2 linked regions of the Schizosaccharomyces pombe genome follow. The protein of the gene in region 1 purifies or fractionates together with the protein of each later gene. This does not show direct contact. Each region holds a gene or a part of one and is shown in the gene's direction. Other genes may lie near its edges.

Region 1 (3,497 bases):
TGGTAATTAAACCAGTAATTGAAGAATCCATACGTTCTAAACATACAACGCATGTAGGAAGCTCGATAAGGGCAGGAGTCGTAGAAGCAAAAGGTTTGGAGGAAGGGCCTACTAGTTGCTGCTCAGTTGAAGAAGAATCAGAGCTCTCCATTGGATATTTTATATTTACTTTGTCAATATGTAAAACGTGGCAAGTTTCAGGATCTATTTGGCTAAAAGCTTTGCCATTGAACTCTGTATAGAACCTAATAACACTTGCTTGATCCTTGAATTTCAACAGCGCCATGATCCGATTTGGATCTTTCGTCTTAAGAAGACGTATATGCTGGATTGACTTGCAATGTTTCTCTCCCAAAAAACCCAATACATCGGAGGGCGACATATATAAGGGAATTGCCAATATCGCAAGGATTAGACCTGGCGCATCAAATTCATGGCTTTCTGAAGGAAATACCCTGTATAAATGAACGACGCCATGTCCAAGAGATGTCTCCTCAACCTCAGGAACTTTAGAAGATGGAAAATCCATTGATAATAACTTTATTTCACCCAATCGAAAATTAAAATGATCGCCTCCAAAAGAATTACCAACAACTTTAGATGCTCTCCTTTTATTACAGGTAAAAATATCTTTTACAGGAGACTCACATTCAATTTCTAAGTAGTAATACATGCATTAAACATCAATACTTGGTAATGGCTCTAAACGACTTGGCATGGTGTTAGTAGAAATAGAATACCTGAGGTCTGTAATGTTAGTAACACCAAATCCTTTATTATTTTTGAGAAGTTTTTAAATTTAAGTGAAAAATAAATAATTTTTAGATGAACTACGTAAGAACTTTCATTTTAATTACTGGTAATAGATACGGATCAATACGATTAAAATGAATCCTAATAAATAATGATAAAATGAGCAATTTTATTAATGGATTTATTCAGCTAGAAAAATAGCATTAATTTAAAATAGAATATTCACTCACTCTTGAAGCCTGCATGGTGAAATTATACATGAATTTGAACATGCAAAAATTGAATTGAAAACTTTTCATTTTAGGAATTCGTTTTCTTTTACAATTGGTCAAGTGTCTTACAAAATCGATTCTTTAAGAGCTATGTTTCTATGCAATTACTTGTCGGTCTCGCGTTGTATACTTCTAGGATAAGATTTTAATATGATTCCAAGAACCGCATATTTTATAATATAATAACAATTTATGTTGTATTCTGTTTCTGCCCTTTTCTTCCCGTCGGTTTAAAAAAAACAATTAACAAGCATGTATTTAGTATATTCTGGGGGTACCATTCAGGAAGTTCTCAGATTCTCAGCCCATTTAGAAGGAGATAGTTTTGAATAAACTGGGACCATCACTAAAAAAATAATTTTGTATTCTTAAAAGAACCAGAGGTGCCAAGCAAGCGTATGAAAACATGAATGTGCTTAATTAAGCTGACGGATTGGCCATTGACTAAAATGCAAGCAACCTTTTGAAATGAACATACTTTAAAATGACTTGAATTTTTTACTTTATTATAAAAACTGATCACTGACCCATGAGGATCCCGTATTTCTTCGGGACGATATTTTCCTAGTTTAACGCATTTCATGAACGACCACTACCAACTAGGTACAATAGTTCATACTCAAGTAAAAGAAGCTAGGTGTGTTTTGGAGAACAGCTATATAAAATAAAGTTTTGAAAAAGCTTTGAAGCAAGCCTTATAAGTGGAAAACCGAGATTCTTTGGTTCGATTGCACTTATATTACAGACGTAAACAAAAGGAAGCAAAAAGCAATGCTAACCTTGGGCAAGTAATAAAAGTCAAACTAGAAAGAATCCTCATGAATAGCTGTATATAATCGACAAGTCGTCAGCCATGGCAAAACCAAAAAAGGAAAATGACTTGGATCTTCTTATACAACTTGCTGACGGTAATAAATGAACATGTGTAAATAAATAATTTTCTTACATTATTTAGCATTGGAAGCTATACCGGGTGATTTATCCAAAAATTTTACGGAAGTCCGTTTTTTAGAGGCTGAACTAAAGGGTAAGTGATAGTGGCATTATAGATTGGGATTTTTTGCTTGAACAACTGTGAAGGTTTTGATAATAAACAAAAAAATGAAAGATTACTAGTGAAACCGTTCTGGTGTTGATTTTCTTTGTTAATGTTTAATCAATCTGCTTAGGACTTGTTTGAACCTTGAATATGTTATTCAAAAGGACTTGAACGCTACTGAGGCTTATAATAAGTTTATGTTGTTCTTATCAAAACTTGCCTATCTAGAGCTTGCCTTTTTCTGATTTAAAATGATTAACATGTTCAGATGTGTATTCACAAGCTCTTTCTTCAATTGATGACCTTCTTAACAGAGATACTAGTGTTGAACGTCGTAATTTAGTCGCTCGAAACTTATCATTACTGTTAAAATCCGATGATGTACAAACTCGAAAAAAATCCCACATTGCAATGTATGCAGAGGCAATTACTCATAGTAATGTTTTACGTTTAGAACACTGTTATCAAAAGATGGAAATGAAATTACCAAATTTTTTTATTCCTTTCACTCCAGAGGTTATAAAAGAGCAAAAAACTTCGAGACCTATTAGAGCATCCCGGCGGAGAGCCAATTTAAGGAATCGCCGTGCTAAAGAATTGCTAGCAGCTGAAAACGCATCGGAGGAAGGAGATAAAAAGCAAATAATCACGGATTCTGGTAAACTACCAGAGACAGAGGAATTAACCGAGACCACAAATGAAGACCTCGACATCAAACAATTCTCTCCCTATTCTTCAGAGAGCAGTGCAAACGTTTCTTCTTACAATAAATCTTGAAACTTACGTAAAGCCTTATATTATTAAAATTCTTGCTTTTTTGTTTTTCTAATTGAAATACACTAATAATAGTTTATCCGGGATTAGCTACTAAATTCTAGTCATTCAACAGAAGTCACTTTGAAAACATATATAAACTCATGTCTTTCCATACTGATTCGAATGGAGGTAACTTCTTTCATACTTAATGCTACGTTTAAAGAGTTTGCATGTTTTGGAAACAATTACTTGATAATACTACCAGGAATTATGTTAGAAAGGAACGTATTTAGACATTTGAATTACTCTACAAATTCTATTTGTAGCCACTATCAGTTTTTTGGCGGACATTACGAATCTTTTGAACTTTTAGTAGTGATAGTTTATTACTTTTCACATGTTGGTTCTTTCTCTTTGGCTGAGATATATCGTATTACCTGGGATAAACGCATTGTACTTTATGGAACAACAACCACTCTTGTCTACTGCTCTGAAGGGTCGGATTGATTGCGTATATGATTAATTCATATTGTATTTTTTTAAAAATAAAACAGGGCTATAGTTTTAGATAACTGTCTCTTATAGGTTACCTATGTTCATAGCTCAACTTAATGAGGATATATTTACCCAAAATCTAAGTGTATATGATTTGGGACATCAAGAAACCATTCAAAACT
Region 2 (3,762 bases), on another chromosome or scaffold:
TTCATTTATTTTATATTTATGGAGTGTTTTGTACGCACTAGCTCTTTTAGTGTTTTATTTTTACTGCGAGAAATGTAATTTTCATTCTTCCTCTTTTATTTATATATGTGTTTTTTTTTGGTAGATTTTGTAAACATCATATAGCTTGTTAATGATCAGACTTTATTTTTTTAATATTTTCTTTTGTTAAGCAATTTCGTTTAAAAATAAACATATCCGACTTTGATGCTTCAAAAATTTAATGTAATAAAATAATATTCCTGTTTTTGAATCTGGGTTAAAATCATATCGGATACCTTATAAAATTCACTGATCATTTAAAAAAAAAAAAAAAAAAAAAAAAAACCCCCCGAAAACATACAATTTTGTTAATTTTCAAATGCATTCTTTTGAGGTCAAGCCATATTTACTTTTATCCCAAATATTAAATTTAAGTGTCATATGCAAAGTTGCAAATTCGCCGACCGTAGGGCTATCAAAACTGATGATGTTTAAAAATTGACTAATGGAACAAATTTATCTTGAGATGAAATGATGTTGTTCAAAATTAATATAATTTTTTTTTGCTGTTTCCTCTTGCTTTATACGCATTTTCCTGCACCTCTCTTTCAGAATACACATTATTCTTATTTGGTATTAAGATTCACCAATTGATAAAATAACACCTAATTGTATGCCACGGCTATCTTGCTATTATTGTAATTTCGCTTTATATTCGATTTTGACGAATGAACCCTGTCAAGTTGGAAAATGCAAAAGCAGTATTCTACCGTTACCTCTCAGTAGTAAAATGACCTTCCATCGATGAAATTCTCTAACATTCTCTTCGTATTTAAAAATGTATGGATCGTATATTCCTTGCTTATCCACGATTCATGAACAATTAAGATTTGCTGAATGGGTAACACATATTCTGCGTTACCTCGTATAGTTCATTGTTAATCAATGTTTAAACACTAAATTTCCCATCTCCCACTGTTAATTGAAAATAGGTTTTATTCAATAAATTACCATTTAAAAAGACATGTTATTTTAAGTTATATATTTTATGAACCTAAAGATTGAAGTAAAGGCCTTCGGAGCCTTTAGTTCCCCTACTATGTGCCTCTACTCGCTTCTTGGGGCTTAACTGTAATGTAGTATTGCCAATTACACAAAAAATTTATATTGTTCTTTAGCTTCTTATAATTCATTTAAATGAGAGGTAAAAAATTCGAGAAGACATTTCAGAAAACTACAGAAGTATCCATTTGTTTGAAATTAACTGTCCTAATGCAGATGAATCCTATGTAATAGAAATATTACAACCGTGGCTATAAAAGAAGTTGAGAGTTAGTTATACGTAAGAATATCTTTTAAAGATTTCAATCGACATCTCACATGATTCATCAGTATTAAACGTAAAAGTTTACATATTAGTTGTAGCACTATTCGTGATAAATGAAATAGTAAACCAAAAAACGAACGAGGAATAATCTTTTCATCACTAGAATATTAAAATTATTTTATATAATCAAAGTTAGAAAGATTCCTTTAGTTCCTTGAAATATTCTTTAATTATTATTGCAGCACTAAGGATTGCATCACTGATATGTCTCAGTAATGATTATCAGAACGTCTGGTAATAAAGCACGATCCTCTCTCTTTTTTTGTTCTGACTCTCGTCAGGATGAATTCCTTCTCAAAGTGCCGGGAGGAATTGCTTTGTATTTTTTGTACCGTACTTACATTTTATCGTATACTTTCACCTTAGCGCTTTTGGTGTCAAAACAATAGAGATGTAAATTTTAATAGAAATTAAAGCTTATTGGAATTTTTGTTTTCAAGTGTTTTAACATGTAGTGATTGTGTAAAGTATATGTTTACGTTCTAGTAATCGACTACCGTTGAAACTTGCAAACTACCAAACAGTATTGCAGACAGTGAATCAGTCGACGGAGCACTTGAATCAATTTGTTAATAATATAGAGATTAAATTCACAATTTATTGACACATGATTAACTGAATTCATTAAAATATTTGTTTTTTTGGTATATATTTCCTTTCAATACCCTCGCTATTTGTTTCTTAATAACTGAAGACAACATTGATCTACTTAATATATATGACTCAAAACTCACAGAGTAATGGTGAAATCGTGTCAAAAAAAACCGGATATTGATGAGTTCTTTTCATTTTTGCAGAGTGCATTCCATCCTCTACAGACCGAGGAACTTGATACATTCGTTCGCAACATTTTTGAATATGACGATCGAGGTCGTTTGTACAACTGCCTTTTAACTCTAGGTAAGAATGAATATTAGATATAATCAAGTTTATTTTTATCGCTTTTTCTAAAATTGTGAATTTTCAATTGATCGTCGTATGCTTGATAGCAATTTTGATGATCTTTTATCAAACATTTTGCACGCCTATAACTCTAAGGTTATATCAATTCAATTTTCTCAAAGAAACATATAAAATTTTACTCTATTCATGACTTGGCATGAGTGGTTGGATGAGACTGTGGCGTTGGTCGTTAATTATATTTTTTGTTGTTTCTGTTCGAAATTGAATGGTTGATTTCAACATTTAGCCCTTGGGTTTTTATTTCCCTAGGAAAAATGTTTGGGAGATTTAACCGTACAGTTTTCTGTAAAGCAAATGATTGTATAAAAAAATTATGATGACTGAAAATTCAAATCTACTACAATGTCACTTGAAAAATCGATTTCTTTTTTGATGTTTTATTTCTTTTTTATTAAAATTTCTAACCGTTAATGCAGTTCCTTATGAAAGACTTCCAATAGATGCAGAGGATCTTAGTAGTCGAAAAACCTATGCGCGTCCCGTACTAATCCGACAATACCGCAGTTTGCGGTTTGCCAACAAAGAAGAAAACATTTGTCGGCTAACTCCCAACTCAGCGTTCGTCCCTGTTCGAGACTCTGCAGTCGCTAGCATTTCAACCTCAAAAGTGCAGGACTTTAACTCCTATGCTACTCTCACTGAAGCACAGAAAAAAACGGCCACTCCCGTTGAGGAAAAAAACTTCTTAAATCAAATTGTCATACAATGTTTAGACTCTTTGGAAACCGACGTTGAAACAAATACCACGCATGCTACTTTACTAGCCGTTGACCCTACTTGGTTAATCCGTGTATCACAGCATACCTGTGATCGGAAAGCTGTGGCTAATCTCTGTATTCAGTATGGAAGTCAAATATTTTATGATCCATCATTTCGAAATGCTTATGAATTATGGTCCAATCCTTCAGTTCTTTTGGCTTTTTTGAAGGCCCAAAGAGTGTTGGTCGTTTCAGATATATTTACTTCGTCAACATTGAGATCAACACAAGGGACGCCAATGTCTTTTCCTAATTTAGCTTTGGAAAGCGCTGATAATGTCGAGAACGTATCAAAGCCTATTAACCCTCGAATGGAAAGGTTTTCATCAGAGGTTAAATCTTCGAGTATTCTGAAACAACAGATTGCAGCCGTTGTTGAGAAAATCAATTATGACATACGCCCTCAACGTGATCAAATCCCTGAAGAAAATATCGTACCTAGAATCTCTTACTTAACAAGTACCACTACTTCGACCAAATCATCACCGGTTCCCGAAAGCACTACAACAAACACAACTGAAGTGCTGAAAGAACTTAATGACATTCAAGAGAACAAAAGCAGAAAAAATGTTGAAAAAGCGACTGCGGCAACAGAAGAAATGCTACGTGGCCATCACAAACCGGTAGAAGGAACAACGGCTACTTCGGAAAAAG

The links. Proteins that work in one complex are often made in the same cells at the same time.
Region 2: the proteins of png3 (region 1) and nts1 purify together in Schizosaccharomyces pombe (affinity purification with western blotting; one study listed by BioGRID). This does not show direct contact.

What each region holds. Positions count from the first base shown.
Region 1 is NC_003424.3:3,522,480-3,525,976, reverse strand, and holds png3 (protein Png3), read left to right. Parts: upstream 1-1,612; 5' UTR 1,613-1,772; exon of another isoform or gene 1,773-1,814; 5' UTR 1,815-1,878; coding exon 1,879-1,933; exon of another isoform or gene 1,934-1,980; coding exon 1,981-2,052; intron 2,053-2,332; coding exon 2,333-2,841; downstream 2,842-3,497. Other genes in the region: SPOM_SPAC16E8.13 (ubiquitin-protein ligase E3), read right to left, coding at 1-673; SPOM_SPAC16E8.18 (uncharacterized protein), read left to right, coding at 3,004-3,327.
Region 2 is NC_003421.2:933,289-937,050, reverse strand, and holds the start of nts1 (protein Nts1), read left to right. Parts: upstream 1-1,895; 5' UTR 1,896-2,127; coding exon 2,128-2,287; exon of another isoform or gene 2,288-2,356; intron 2,357-2,766; coding exon 2,767-3,762.